Macaca mulatta: one gene and its partner. The protein of the gene in region 1 purifies or fractionates together with the protein of each later gene. This does not show direct contact. Links are inferred from orthologs where the notes say so. Each region holds a gene or a part of one and is shown on either strand. Other genes may lie near its edges.

Evidence for each region. Proteins that work in one complex are often made in the same cells at the same time.
Region 2: the proteins of PPP3CC (region 1) and RCAN3 purify together in Homo sapiens (affinity purification with mass spectrometry; 3 studies listed by BioGRID and IntAct, counting the BioPlex papers as one, with this or other methods). This does not show direct contact. The link is inferred for Macaca mulatta from reciprocal best matches to the Homo sapiens genes PPP3CC and RCAN3.

The regions. Positions count from the first base shown.
Region 1 is NC_133413.1:24,190,211-24,197,190, reverse strand, and holds part of PPP3CC (serine/threonine-protein phosphatase 2B catalytic subunit gamma isoform), read right to left. Parts: intron 5,259-6,980; coding exon 5,133-5,258; intron 4,142-5,132; coding exon 4,070-4,141; intron 1,314-4,069; coding exon 1,287-1,313; intron 387-1,286; coding exon 305-386; intron 1-304. UniProt on the Homo sapiens protein: Calcium-dependent, calmodulin-stimulated protein phosphatase which plays an essential role in the transduction of intracellular Ca(2+)-mediated signals. Dephosphorylates and activates transcription factor NFATC1.
Region 2 is NC_133406.1:216,460,116-216,467,692, forward strand, and holds the start of RCAN3 (calcipressin-3), read right to left. Parts: upstream 4,710-7,577; 5' UTR 4,414-4,709; intron 1-4,413.

The sequences.
Region 1 (6,980 bases):
AACTAAGGCACAGAGATGAAACCCAAGATCACACAGATAAGAGGTAGAGCCAGAATTTGAACACAGGCAATCTGGTTGGAAAGTCCACACTAAACCACTACATTCACTACATCTAAGCTACTAACAAATTGAATGTTTGATGGAACATTTTTAGTCGCTTTAACATGTTCATTCAATCTGCACTCGACCTAAAGACCTGCAGTTTCAATACTAAATTCCAATTCTAAAAAAACTGTTCTGAATTCGATGTCTAATTTACTCTCAAAATGCCTTTAATCCACACTGTAATGACAGACATCCTTACCGAAGAATTGAAAAGACCCGTGCCATCTTCCCAATGGCTCTGATCTTACTCCTGATGATCTCCTTACGAACTGTAGTGCTTCCTTAGAGAATACAAAGAATAAGTAAGTTAAAGGGATGTGTTAATAGGCTGCCTTTAAAAAATTCAGGATGAAGTGTCTTAAGTTAAAGAAACAATTGTTTTTAAAAAACAGAAATGAAGGCTTAAGTTTGTTTAAACAAACAAAAATCTCAGGAAGTTCTAAGGAGCAAGAGAAAAAATGACCCAGAAGGTAAAAAGATGAAGTAAAAATGAGAGGCCACAAAAGAGACAGACTGGGTGGATCTATGAGAGGTGGGAACTTATTTGTGGTTGTGAAACGTAGAACACAGCAAAGAATGAAACACACACATACATAAACAAACCTCACCAAGAAAGCTGCTACAGCAAAGATGTCTTTTGACAATGCTGTGGGCCACCTTAGGGTGCGGGGTTTGGCCTGCCAAATGGCAAGTGATCATTCCAGCAGCTGTCTTCTGTACGTAAACACAACACCCAGCTAGCTCTCCTGAACTTAGTGAGTGCTGCTTTCATTCTATAATCTTCACTTACATTAGTGAATTATTGCCTCACAATACTACTTACAACCGTGCACTATTTTAAAAAGCAACAACAGAAAAAGTTAACGCGAGACTTTATGGCTTTTTCTTATCTAGGATTCTGAAAATAGCCCACAAATGAGAAGCCAAGGTCTAGCATGCACCAGGTATCTACAGTCAAAAGTCAGAAAAAGAAACATGGCCTCTCCTTCCTCACATCCAACCCTCAACACCCTGCCGGATCATGCAAGAGGTCCAGAGAAAACATACACATTAAAACTGAAGGGGAGGATGGAGAGCCTTTCTGAAATTATTTAACTACCAATTTTAAAAGTCTAACCAATAGACAACTGTGGTGGGACAGAGAGTAAGCATTAAGCTCTTAGCACAGTTTAGTCGGATACCTTTCTGATAGCTTGGAATGTAGTGATCTTCAGGGAGAAGAGACACCAAGAAACAAGGAGATGAAGACAGAAATATGAGAAGAGAAATTTATGTTTACATGGAAAAGAGAAAAAAAAAATCAAAGTGAAATGCAATGAGAGAAACAGGCTATTATCTTTACCAGCTCATAAGAGATATCCTTGGAATCATGATGCAACATTAAATTACAAATTTATTTTGTCAGTAGTTTCTTCCATTTCTTAAAAGTTTATGGTTTTACATTAATTCACATCTATGAGCATCCAACATTTTCTACCCCCACACATCATGAAAATAACATTAAATAAAGATATAATTTGTGGAATAAATGATGGCAAAAACAAGGAACAAAAACGGAGGACAGAACAGTTAACAAATCTCTTTGTAGGAATAGCATGTTTTTTTGTTTAATGGATTCTACAGCTTCACGGCTTCTTTTTCAGGGGATATAATCATTCTTCCCTTTTTTTCTTTTTTGTTTTTTTTTTTTGAGATGGAGTCTTGCTCTGTCGCCAGGCTGGAGTGCAGTGGTGCGATCTTGGCTCACTGCAACCTCCACCTCTCAGGTTCAAGCAATTCTCCTACCTCAGCCTCCTGAGTAGCTGGGACTACAGACACGCGCCGCCACATCCAGCTAAATTTTGTGTTTTTAGTAGAGATGGGGTTTCACCACATTGGCAAGGATGGTCTCGATCTCTTGACCTCATGATCCACCTGCCTCGGCCTCCCAGAGTGCTGGGATTACAGGCGTGAGCCACTGTGCCCAGCCCATTCTTCCTTTTTATTTATTTATTTATTTATTTTTATGTTTGTGGTGGTAAAGAATAGGAAATACATGTGTTTTTGTTTGTTCGTTTGGTTTTTTGAAACAGGGTCTTCCTCTGTTGCCAGGCTAGAGTGCAGTGGCAAGATCTCGGCTCACTGCAACCTCTGCCTCTCAGGTTCAAGTAATCCTCCCACCTCACGCCCCCAAGTAGCTGGGACCAGAGGCACTCGCCACCACATCTGGCTGATTTCTGCATTTTCAGTAGAGATGGGGTTTCACCATGTTGCTCAAGGGGATATTCGGTTTTTCTTTTGTTTTTCACTTGGCTGCACTACTTCCTCAAGAAGAACTGGTTCCTTATAGTGATCTCCTATACCATAAATAAATACACTCGCAAGCTATCTTCCATATGCTGTTGATTTTCAGTGCAGAACCTGAAGCATGAGAGTGTACGGTAATTTCCTCTAGATTCCCAAAGGGAATTCTGTTTTCTCCATGATGGAGATGGTTTATCCTCACAGTTAAGGGAACCAACTTAGCACAGAGCCTGGATAGGATGAGGCCGGTTTGTGCTTGGGTAACCACCACTTTTCCAGAATCTCTTGCATTCTCAGACAAGTCAGGACCTACCTTTACAATCAAACCTCCCACAGCACACTAGGAAAAAAGTACTTGGCTACATATATAATAAAATGTTACTGAATAAAAAGATTCCTCACACGCCAATAAGAACAAAAAACAAAATGGGGTTGGGCGTGGTGGCTCATGCCTGTAATCCCAGCACTTTGGGAGACCCAGGCAGGCAGACCACTTTGAGCTCAGGAGTTCGAGACTAGCCCGGGCAACATGGTGAAACCCCATCTATACTAAAAACACAAAAATTAGCTGGTCGTGGTGGCACGCGCCTGTAATCCCAGCTACTTACAAGGCTGAGGCAGGAGAATCACTTGAACCCGGGAGGTGAAGGTTGCAGTGAGCCAAGATCGCGCCACTGCACTCCATCCTGGGTGACAGAACAACACTCTGTCTCAAAAAAAAAAAAAAAGGATACAAGATATGAATTGACAAGTCACAAAAGAGAGATAAACATGACCAATAAACACAAGAAAAAATTGTCCATTAGTCTCATAAAAATATAAAGTTTTAATTAAAAACTTAATAACACCAGACTATAATGAGTATCATAAAGAGTATTGGAGACCGCACTGTGACTATACACCCTGCAAAATGTAAAGTGGTACAGCCTTTCTAGAGGCTGTATCAGAAATTTCTATCTGTATCAGAATTGAAATTTTAAGTACTAATTGACACAGATATTCAATTTCTAGAAATTCATCCTATGGAAATAAGGAGTGTTATTCTTGATTTTCTAATATTGCTTTACTTCCTTTCATCTGACATATTTATTTACTGTTTTTCCTCCCTGCACTAGCAAATAAGCTTATTGAGAGCAAGGACCTAAACAGTACAGTACTTGGTATATATCAACCATGTAATAAATATTGGTTAATAGAATGTGTACATTTTTATCTATACAAATTTTCAAAACTATATGGGTTTTGTCAGCAAAAACTTTGGAAAACCTCCAATATCTAACACCACTGGGATTAGATAAAACATTGATCAGCATGGACAACTACAGATCCATTAGAAATTAGTCTACAAGAAACTCCACAAAAACAGTAAGTGTACTAGATCTTATTACATGACCTCATTCTCATTAAAAAGAAAAAAAACAGAGGAAAGCTATGTGCAGAGATAAAAGACAGCTAACACAGTATACATTAAGATGTTAACTGTGGATATCTATAAGATGATGGGATTATGGGTGACTTTTTTTCCTTATTTATGGTTTCTCGTATTTTTCAAATTTTATTTTTCCACAATGAACTAAATTTATTTTTAATATGACAAAGAAAATCATTCAAAATAAACTAAAACAACTAAAACCAAAACCGAACCTCTCCCTAGTTTTAGTTTAGAGGAGGAAAACTTTACCTTCCGCTTCATCATCAGAAATCAGTTCGTCATCAGAGCATATGTTGAGCACATTTACCAGCATCTCTGTGACTACGTAAAACAAAATAATCCAAAATTTATGCAATTAATGAGGTATTTTCTCTAAAATAATGTGTATATCTAAATAAACACACGTTAAGTAAGCATGAACAAAAATTATTTATCATTATGTTAGTAACAATAGCTATAAAAAGTAGCATAAACGTAAACTTTCAGATTTAAAAAGAATTTAGGTAGATTACTTGCTCCGGTACAAGTTTGGAGTCTTTGAAGATCTATTGCATAACTACTTGATTTTACTGAGTTGCTGTTCAGAGCTTCTTCCCATACTGATACACACGTGATAAAATTTTTTCCCATTTTACAAAGTTAAGCCAACAGGCCTACATCCAACAGGCTTAGCTTATGTGAGTAGTTGTACAAATAAAATTGTAAGGACAATAAATTCTGTTTAAATCTCTTCAGTAGTGAAGAAATCTGAGGCAATGACAAGTAACTATGTTGTTTTATCATCTTGATCATAGTAGGTCAGCTACTTTAAATTGATATTTACAGTAAGAAAACCATAATGTATGAAAATTTAAGAACCAATTACATGCCATTTACAAATCTATGTAGAGGCTGCGCACAGTGGCTCACACCTGTAATCCCAGCACTTTGGGAGGCTGAGGAGAGCGGATCACTTGAGGTCAGGAGTTTGAGACCAGCCTGGCCAATATGGTGAAACCCTGTATCTACTAAAATACAAAAATTAGCCGGGCGCAGGGGCACATGCCTATAATCCCAGCTCCTCGGGAGGCTGAGGCAGGAGAATCGCTTGAACCCAGGAGGTGGAGGTTGTAGTTAGCCAAGATTGTGCCACTGCACTCCAGCCTGGGTGACAGAGCGAGACTCTGTCTCAAAAAAAAAAAAAAAAAAAAAAAATCTAAGTAGAGAACAAACAAAATTAGAAAACATTTCTGAACCTTGCGGGGGCTCATGCAAATATAAGGTGTGCTCAGTCACCAAACAACTGACGAGACACATGCTTTAGTTCTCTTACCTTTTTCCCCAACAAAAGGCAAAGACCATGTGAAAACATCCATAAAGTTTGGAAGCCAGTAGGGGTGTGGAGAACAATTAAACTGCCTGATATTCATGACATTGTTTTCATATTTCAACACAGCAGCTAAAAAGGAAAAAAGCAAGAAAATCTGGCACAGAGGAACATGGCATGGCAACTGATATGCTTTGTACAGCTGTGTACCTGCTACACAGAATTCGAGAACTTTCCATTTGTAAAGTCAGGACTTGACTAGGTAAAGCGCAAATGGAAAATTTTAAAGCCTTTTATTTAGTTCATTCTCTTAAGAGTTATTCCAAGGAACAAAGTCACCTGAAGAGCTCATATAATAAAAGTACAAAAGAAACTGAAACTTTGGAGTCACTGCACAGTAACTATCTATATAACCCTCAAGATCCACGAAGAAAATTTCCCCACAATTTCCTTTTATAGGCCAAATGGTTATAATTACAACTCTCCTTTGAAGGCAAATATCACTCATTAAACGGCCACAGCCTGTTTTGCTAGTCATTAGCCTGAGTTAAATATTGTATACACTCTCTGGGAGTTTATATAGTGCAGTTACCAACTCATACTGGAAGATACAAAAGGCAAACTTGGAGCAATTTACAATTAAATGTTCAAAATTAGATTAAATCATCTCTGTATTCAATATAGTGGATTTTAAAATTGCCGATTTCTCCAATACACAGCAGTATATGGCCAGCATGCTATGTTTAATATTAACCGTTCAGATAGTTGCACACATACTTTGATGCCAAACTGATTTTCTTTATATTTTGAAAGTCTTAAAATCCAATTCCTTAGCCTCTATCACCAGCAATGTTGTTTGCACTATTCTCTTAATTATTCCGTGGTCATGAAATAAAATAGGGTATAACAGTTCTCTAGAAATGACAGATATAGGTCACGTCCTCGTTTCTGTTTCTTTGTTATAGGACAATCTAGTGTTCTTAAAATTTGTTATTGAATGTCTAAAATGCACACCATAGATTATTAAGAAAATAAATTAAAATATAATCTCTAGCTCTTAAAAAGCCTAACACTGGCTATGATGCACACGTTCCATTATTTTCACGTGTATGTATTTATTTAGTTTAGGTAAATACGTCATATATCATTATTCAACAACTCCCTCAATTTCTACACAGGAAAAAGAAGTGGGAGGTGAGTCTCAACAGTGAATGACTGGAAACAAGAGTTTATAAAACTGCTTTTGGGGCCGGGCGCAGTGGCTCACGCCTGTAATCCCAGCACTTTGGGAGGCCGAGGCAGGCGGATCACGAGGTCAGGAGATCGAGACCATCCTGGCTAACACAGTGAAACCCCGTCTCTACTAAAAATAATACAAAAAATTAGCTGGGCGAGGTGGCGGGCGCCTGTAGTCCCAGCTACTCAGGAGGCTGAGGCAGGAGAATGGCGTGAACCCGGGAGGCGGAGCTTGCAGTGAGCAGAGACGGTGCGTCACTGCACTCCAGCCTGGGCGACAGAGCGAGACTCTGTCTCAAAAAAACAAAAACAAAAACAAAACTGCCTTTGGGTGTGTTCCCAGTGGACAGAAGAAAACAAGAAGAATCTTTAAAAATCATGATTAAAGGTCTTTTGTGTAACCAGTGGAACTAAGAAATACCTGTAGATACCAAGAAGTCTAAAGAATATGAGTACTCCTAGCACTTTGGGAGGCTGACGCGGGCGGACTGCCTAAGCTCAGGAGATCGAGCCCAGCCTGGGCAATGTGGTGAAACCCCGTCTCTACTAAAATACAAAAAATTAGCCAGGCATGGCGATGTGCACCTGTAGTCCCAGCTACTCGGGAGGCTGAGGTGG
Region 2 (7,577 bases), on another chromosome or scaffold:
CTTATGTTGTGATTATTTGTTTACAAATCACCCCTAGCTACAAGACTGTATATGTGAAGCCCCAGGCCCTGGCACAGTTTCCCGCTCACAGTGTATGCTTAAATAAGGGAGGCTGAATAAAAGCAGGTAGCATTGTGGTGACCCCACTGATATGTCAGCACAGACACAGGTAAATTGAATTCTGCATGGAATTAGAGATAGCTTCCCAAAGGAGGCGATGGTGAGACTTCCAGGATGAACAGAATTTCAGAAGGAAAAGAATGGGGAGTATTCCATGCAAAGCCAGCAGGACATGAACAAAGGCAGGAAGACAATAGGACCCGCATGTTCACGTGATCTGGCATGGCTAAGGTGCAAGGTGTTTGGTGGGGGTGGCATGAGACAGTCGGAAAGGCAGGTATGGGCCAGGTTGCCAAGAAAGTAGGGTTACAGAGTTTTGACATAAAGACCATGTCAAAAAAAAAAAAGACCATGTCAATATCAGCATGCCATTGAGGGTTTTTAGGCAGGGAAATGATAAAATCAAAGCAATTTACTTTTAGTATCTCTAAAGGCGGGCTGTCTTTGTGTTTTATCTCTTAGAGGCACTAATGTTTCTATCCTATTCCCAACCCATTAAAAAGAGGTAAAGAAAATACTGTGCCTGGGTTTTTGGAGGCTGACAAATTGAGGAGCTCTGGCTGACTAGATTTTGAAATTTGAGAAAGTCAACCTATTCTTGATAAGATTTTGTTTGTTTGTTTCAAGTTCCCTCGTCTAACCCGTAAAAAGATTTTAAAAAACAGAACACAGGAAATAATCCTTCACCTGACTTAAAAAAAATTCTTAGAATGTCACACCTTCGTTTCCTGTTTTCTATCTTCAATTTTGAGTACCTTTTTTTCTTGATATAACTTCAAACAGAAGTTATAAGAATAGCACAAGGAATTCGGGTACGCTGTATCCTTTACCCAGAGTCACTAATTCCTTCTGTTTTGTCCATCTGCTTTATCTTTCTCTATTTTTATAGATGTGCATTTTCCTGAGCCATTGAAAGATGGAACATACCCCTTTTACTTCCAAATACTTCAGTGTATAAAAACAAGATCATTTTCTTACATAACCCATAAGATATTTATCAAAAATAGGAAATTTAACATTGATATAATACTATTATCTAATACATAATTTGTCAAATGCATAATCTGGATTCAAATTTTGTCAGTTATCCTAATAACGTCTTAGCTATTTTCCTTCCTTTTTTTTTTTAGATTATTGTCAAATTATTTGTCTTTTGTCCCAAGATATCTATGTTTCTTTCTTTTTTCTTTTTTTAGAGACAGGGTCTCTGTCACCCAGGCTATAGTGCAGTGGTATGATTACCGCTCTGCTCCAACCATCACAAGACTCAACTGTTCCTCAGTTTACCAATCCAGGGAACTCCTGACTGGCCCAGCAGAATGGGCTGAACCAATATCCTCCAGCTCCTGTAAGCAAAAAGTCTGTGCTATTCCAGGTTTCCCATCATCTCTAGCACAACTGTAACTGCCGCTGGCTTCTGGCAAATTGTTTCTTCATGGAAATATCAAATGAGTGGAAAAACTCCAAGTAGCATGACCATCTGGTCCGCCACAACAAGCCTGTGACAAAAGTCATCTATCAAGGCAAAATGTCAAGCACATGGCATGGATCTTGCATTTTCTGTTCTGATCAGGAAAAGGCAAGTTTTTTCTCCTCCAGGATTAAAATAATAATTTTTCAAATTAATAGGCTTCCCAACTTGGTGAACATTTCAATATCTTAGCTAGAAGCACTTTTTACTTTTTGTGTGTGTTAAAAATGCTGGCAAGCAATACTGGAAGCAAACAAGTGCTCCATTATCAGCTCAACAAGCGTCCTGCTGAATAACCTTGGGAAAAATCACTTGCCTTTTCCGTATTTATAAAATGAACAAAATAAAATACATAAAATGTATAAAATATATAAAATAAACACAGGTGCTTTGGGCTACTAAGTTCCTTTTATAAATTTCTAAATTATAAATTTCAACTAAGTTAAAAAACAAAACGAAACACCTGGACTGGTGTGGTGGCTCATGCCTGTAATCCCAGCACTTCGGGAGGTGGAGGCAGGCGGGCTGCCAGAACTCCAGAGTTCAAGACCAGCCCGGGCAACATGGCAAAACCTCGTCTCTGCAAAAAAATACATGGTGCACGTCTGTAGTCTCAGCAACTCAGGAGGCTGCGGTGGGAGGCCTACTTCAGCCTGGGAGGCCAAGGCTGCAGTGAGCTGTGTTTGCACCACTGCACTCCAGCAGTGGGCAACAGAAGGAGAACTTACCTCAAAAAAAAAACAAAAGAAAAAGAAAACGAAAACAACGAAAAGCCACTTAGGACCATCAATGGGAAGTTCCAAACGGCTTTCACAAAGCCCTACCTTCTATTCTCTACTCATTTACCCCTTACAGGTAGAACTGTACTATTTTTTAGTAGCTGTGTGTAAGAAAAATTTGGTGCAACAGTAAAGTAAAACAGGTGAAAATCTGATTTTGTATTTTGTATGTTTCAGTGACCCATGTCCTGTTTTCACACATAACCTAGAATTAGTCCTGTTAAAATTGAGGTTCCACTCCACCAGGAATTTGTTAGCAAGAGACAGATAGAAATAAACAACCACCACCAGCCTACAAAACACATGAAAACAACAGGCTTTAAAGAATAACTGAAGTTGAGATATATAAGACTGACGCTATTTGTTGTGCTGGGTGTAATTCCTTTCCCCTGGATAGAACCTTTACATTCTAGGGAGAAAGTGGAGGCTGCTGTCCTACCTCCACCTTCTGTGGGGTTTTTTTCTAAGTAACAAATGGTGTTGAACTTCAGAGCTTCCATTATTTCACAGGCTTCAGGCTAATGGATTTCCGGTTCACACGACTTTTCATGTTTTAAGTCCTTCAATCAACAACTCTAACACCATACAAAATCTGCTCTTGTCTGTTACCTAATGTTCACATGTTTGAAACCTTTACAAACGTTGTATTTCAACAACAGGAAAAATCTTGTTTCCTAGAAAAGCACTGAAATCTGTTTCCAGGCTAAGAAAAAAGGTCTAGGCCGGGCGCAGTGGCTCATGCCTGTAATCCCAGCACTCTGGGAGGCAGAGGTGGACGGAAGGCTTGGGCCCAGGAGTTCAAGAACAGCCGGGCAACATGGTGAGACCCAATCTCTACAAAAAATTAGCCGGCACCTGCAGTCCCAGCTACTCGGGACGCTGAGAGGTGGGAGGATCGCTTGATCCTGGGAAGTTGAGGCTGCAGTGAGTTGTGTCTGCACCACTGCACTCCAGCCTGGGTGACAGAGCCAGGCCTATGCCTCAAAAAGAAGGAAAGGACAGGACAGGACAGGACACGAAAGGAAAGGAAAGGAAAAGAAAAGAAAAGAAAAAAGGCAAGGCTTGCCAATGCAGTAAAATGTAAAGCTGATGACCTGGCTAACGAAGAGACTCAGTTTTCAGGCTTTTCACAGTCTTTTTGCATGGAAAGCCCATTTCTAGAAGATCAATTTAAATCCCCACCAAAAAGAACACATTTGTGTGATGCATATCTAGCTCCTGAATTACGTGTTTACAGAGCTTAACATATTGAACTAAAGCCAATGAAACAGTCTTAGAACAAATTACATCGTATGTAATCACAGCTACCGATAAATCAATTGCTTCTTTTGCCAAATAGTACATCAGAGACTTCTATGAAAAGTTCAAATAAATGTGGTGTACTCGGTGGCTTCCAACAAGTGAAAGCGAGTATTTTTGGCTTTCAGCACTACAGGAAAACATCACTTTAAATAATCCTTGTTTGTATCTGAAACACGGATCTGGATTGCTTCCTACACTAGAATCCTAATCTCTAAAGGAGATGATCAGATTTTGCACGGAAGCTAGACGAAATCAACCTGGAACAGATCACTCCTGCCCTACCTGTCCAGGCGGCGGACAGAAGCAGACAGACAAGTTTCAAGAAGTTAGGGAGTCACTGATGCGATGGTGATCCACGCACCGTGGGGGCAGCGGGGCAAGGGAGAAAGACAGGGGGCTTCCACCTTCCAGGCGCCCATGCCGCTCCTGCCTTCAGAGGCAGGCTGGGCCTGTCGGCTTTTCAAAAAGTCAAACACTTGGTGGGAGAAAATCGTTGGTGGAGAAGACAAAACACTTTTGTTTTGTTTTCCGGGACACCACCCTCGAGGCTGCCAGACTAGACCCCACCAGGGAGAAGGGTGCGGCGGGAGGCGACGTCGCGCGCGGCAGCATCTCCGGGTCCCGCGGCTGGGGGCTCCCACCCCTCCCGGGCTTCTTGGGGTGGCTTCTTCCTTTTTTTTAACTTTTCACGCCCCCCGCCCCCGCCCCGCGCCCCACCCCCGCCCCGCGCTGGGTGCAGACCTGCTGGAGAGGGCGGGCGCCAAGGAGTCTCACCTGCACGCCCCGCCGCCGCAGGACCGGAGCCGGGAGGACGGCGGACGAGCCCTGGCGGCCCGACGGGTCTGCGGGGAGCCTGGGGCCGCGAGCTGCGAGACCTCCGAGAGCCTGGCAGGCGGCAGGCGGGGCCGAGGGCAAAGCCAGGAGCCGCGGGCAGCAGCAGCCTCGCCGCCACGCCCTCGACGCCGGAGAGAGCGGCCGCCTAGGCGCCGACTAGGGCGGTGTCCCGGCTGAGCGAGGCTGCCGGCGCCGCGCGCGCTCCCGGGCCCCTGCGCGCGCCCGCCTTGTCCCCTCCTGTTCTGGCAGGGCGCGCGCACGGCGGCGCAGGCGCCGGAGGCCCGGCCGAGGCCGGGGCCGGGGCGGGGGCGCGCGGGGGCCGGGGCGGGGGTGTCTCGCCGCGCGCGCCCTCCTTCCGCTCCTCCGGGTCCTTGGTTCCCAGCCTGTAGGGGGCTTGGGCTGTAGCGCTGGGGCGGGGGCTTTAGATCCCCCCAAAAACAGGACCTCTGGCGACCTTCTCGTTTTCCACCGGGAGCGGAGAGAGCCGATCTCCTTTTCCTGCTAGCCCCGTAGGACAGTCTCCGGAGCAGCTCATAGGAATATGACGAACGTTTACTCAGGGCTGGTTACTATGTACACTGCGCCCCGCGCGCGGCGAGTTTACCTCGGTTCACCTCCCGGCAACCGGCGGCCCGGATATTATCAGATGCGGGGGACTTGCCGGCGCCTTATTGCCCGAGGAGAGGCGGCCTCAAGTACCTGAGCTGGAGCTAGCACCAGGTGTGGGACGGCACAGGCTGGGTCCCGCCCTGGCGGGTACAACCCTCTTCCCCTTCCCCTCCTCTCCCCTCCTCCCCACTCGTGCTCTTCTCCCTCCTCCCGCTCTCCCTCCTCCTCTTACTCCTCTTCACCCTATGCCCTATCTACTGTTGTCGTACAATTCACATGTTTAATGCTTTCTTTTTCGTGTAAAAACCCTTCCATGCAGTCTTGCTTGCTTGTCTCCGACGCCCTAGGAGACCATGGGACATGATTACAACTATTAGGCAAAGGGAAGAGCCGGGGTCTAAACTGTTCAGCGCGTTTCAGTGGTAGAACCGAGGCTTACATTGGCAGGTATTATTATTACCAATAACAGCTATGATGACAAAGCGCCTGAGCACAGCTTGGAAGGCAGCTGATGTCTCCTCCCTTAGCCGGCAGAGAGGGAAGCAGGGTCACAGATCAGGGAAAATAACTGGGCTCAGCTCCCACCTGCAAGGACCCGCAGCTGCGCGGTGGTGCGCACCCATAGTCCCAGCAACTCAGGAGGCTGAGGCGGGAGGATCGGTTGAGGCCAGGAGTCTGAGACCAGCCTGGACAACATAGCAAGGCTCCGTCTCAAAAGAAAAAAAAAAGGAATGTGCAGTGCAGTTAGAAGAAAATCAGCTCTGATTACCCACTCAAGGCCTTTCAGAGGCAAAGTGAGGCACGGTGAAGGTTAACATCAAAGGCACTCAGTGCCTGCATCATGGGGCAGGAAGATGGACTAAAATGTGTACAGCACATCTAATCCCTGTTAGATGTAAACTGAGGAATCGGGGTTGGATTATGACCCCAAGGGCTCTCCAGCAGTTGAGCCCAGCACCGTCACAGAGGTATACCCAGCAGATCACCCTTCCTGCTTCCTGCTTGCTGCTTCTGTGGTTCCTGCTGCCTCCAACCCTGCTGCTCCTGCTCCCCATCTTGTCTTAACTAAGTTCTTCACTTTCATTCGTTTAACTAATGATGATTGCAAACTGCTTCTTTTGTCAAAGTCACCCTAAGGACTGCAGTAATTTTTTTTTTTCTCTAAATTCCTCTAACACAGCAACTTTTGCAAAAGTTGAGGGTTTTTTGTTTTGTTTTGTTTTGTTTTGTTTGTTTTGAGATGGGGTCTGCTCTGTTGCCTAGGCTGGAGTGCAGTGGCACAATCATAGCCTCAACCATCCAGGCTCAAGCGATCCTCCCACCTCAGCCTCCTGAGTAGCTGGGACTACAGGTACATGCCACCATGCCTGGTTAATTTTTCTATTTTTTGTAGAGACGAGGTCTCACTATGTTGCCCAGGCTGGTCTTGAACTCCTGAACTCAAGCAGTCCTCCTGCGTTGGCCTCCCAGAGTGCTGGGATTATAGGCATGAGCCATTGCACCTGGCCAAAACATTGAATTTTCACATGACATGAGATTGGAAACGGCTGCATTCCATAGCCCTGCCTGGAGATGTCTGATGCATGTTCACACACACACACACAAAATGGCCTTGAGAGATCCTAAGTCAAACAACCAGGTTAAGTTTGTTTAACTGAGTTTCCCTGAGGAATTAGGCCCTGTGCGGGTGTTGGGCTTGCATGGGTAAGGCCCATACAGATCTGCCACCTGAGGAGCCCACAGATAGGGGACACAGTGATTGTGACACAATTGTAGGTGTGCACTATTTGAGACGTTGGCGACGCGCTGACAAAGCAGAGGAAGAAGTGAGCAATCTACATGATGGGCCAGGGAATGGGGTTCACATTATCCGGTATTATTCAAGATTCTCTCTCTTTTTTTTTTTTTCATGGAATACATCACTCAGACTGGGTTAAGCAGCAAATGGAATGCATTGACTCACATAACAGAAAAGTTTGGGGCTTCAGGCATGGCTGGATTCAGGGGCTTAAACTACGACATCAGGATTAAGTCTTTTCTCTCCATTTCTTGACTCTATTTCCTGTTGACTTTTCATTCTTAGGCTTCCTTTTCCCCATGAGATGGCAGAATGGCTGCTTACAACTTCAAATCACACCCTTTCGAGCAGAAAGGGAGTTTCTTTTCCCTGATGCTGTCAACAAAAGTCCCAGGACTACATCTCATTGGTCTAACTTGTGTTACCCGTGCATCACTAAACCACTCTCCTGAGAAGGAGCATGGAACATTCTGACAGCTCCTCTCAAATCGCATGGGCTGAGATTTGGGGAGAGCTGGCTTCCTGTGCTAGATCATTTCTGTTGGCCCTTCCAGATCTACTCTCCACCCTTCTCCTTCCTGATTTGAGCCTCAAGAGGCCAACCTGCATGGACTGCTTCCACAGGTCCCTTGTCCTCTGACTTACAGTTGAATTCACCAAATAG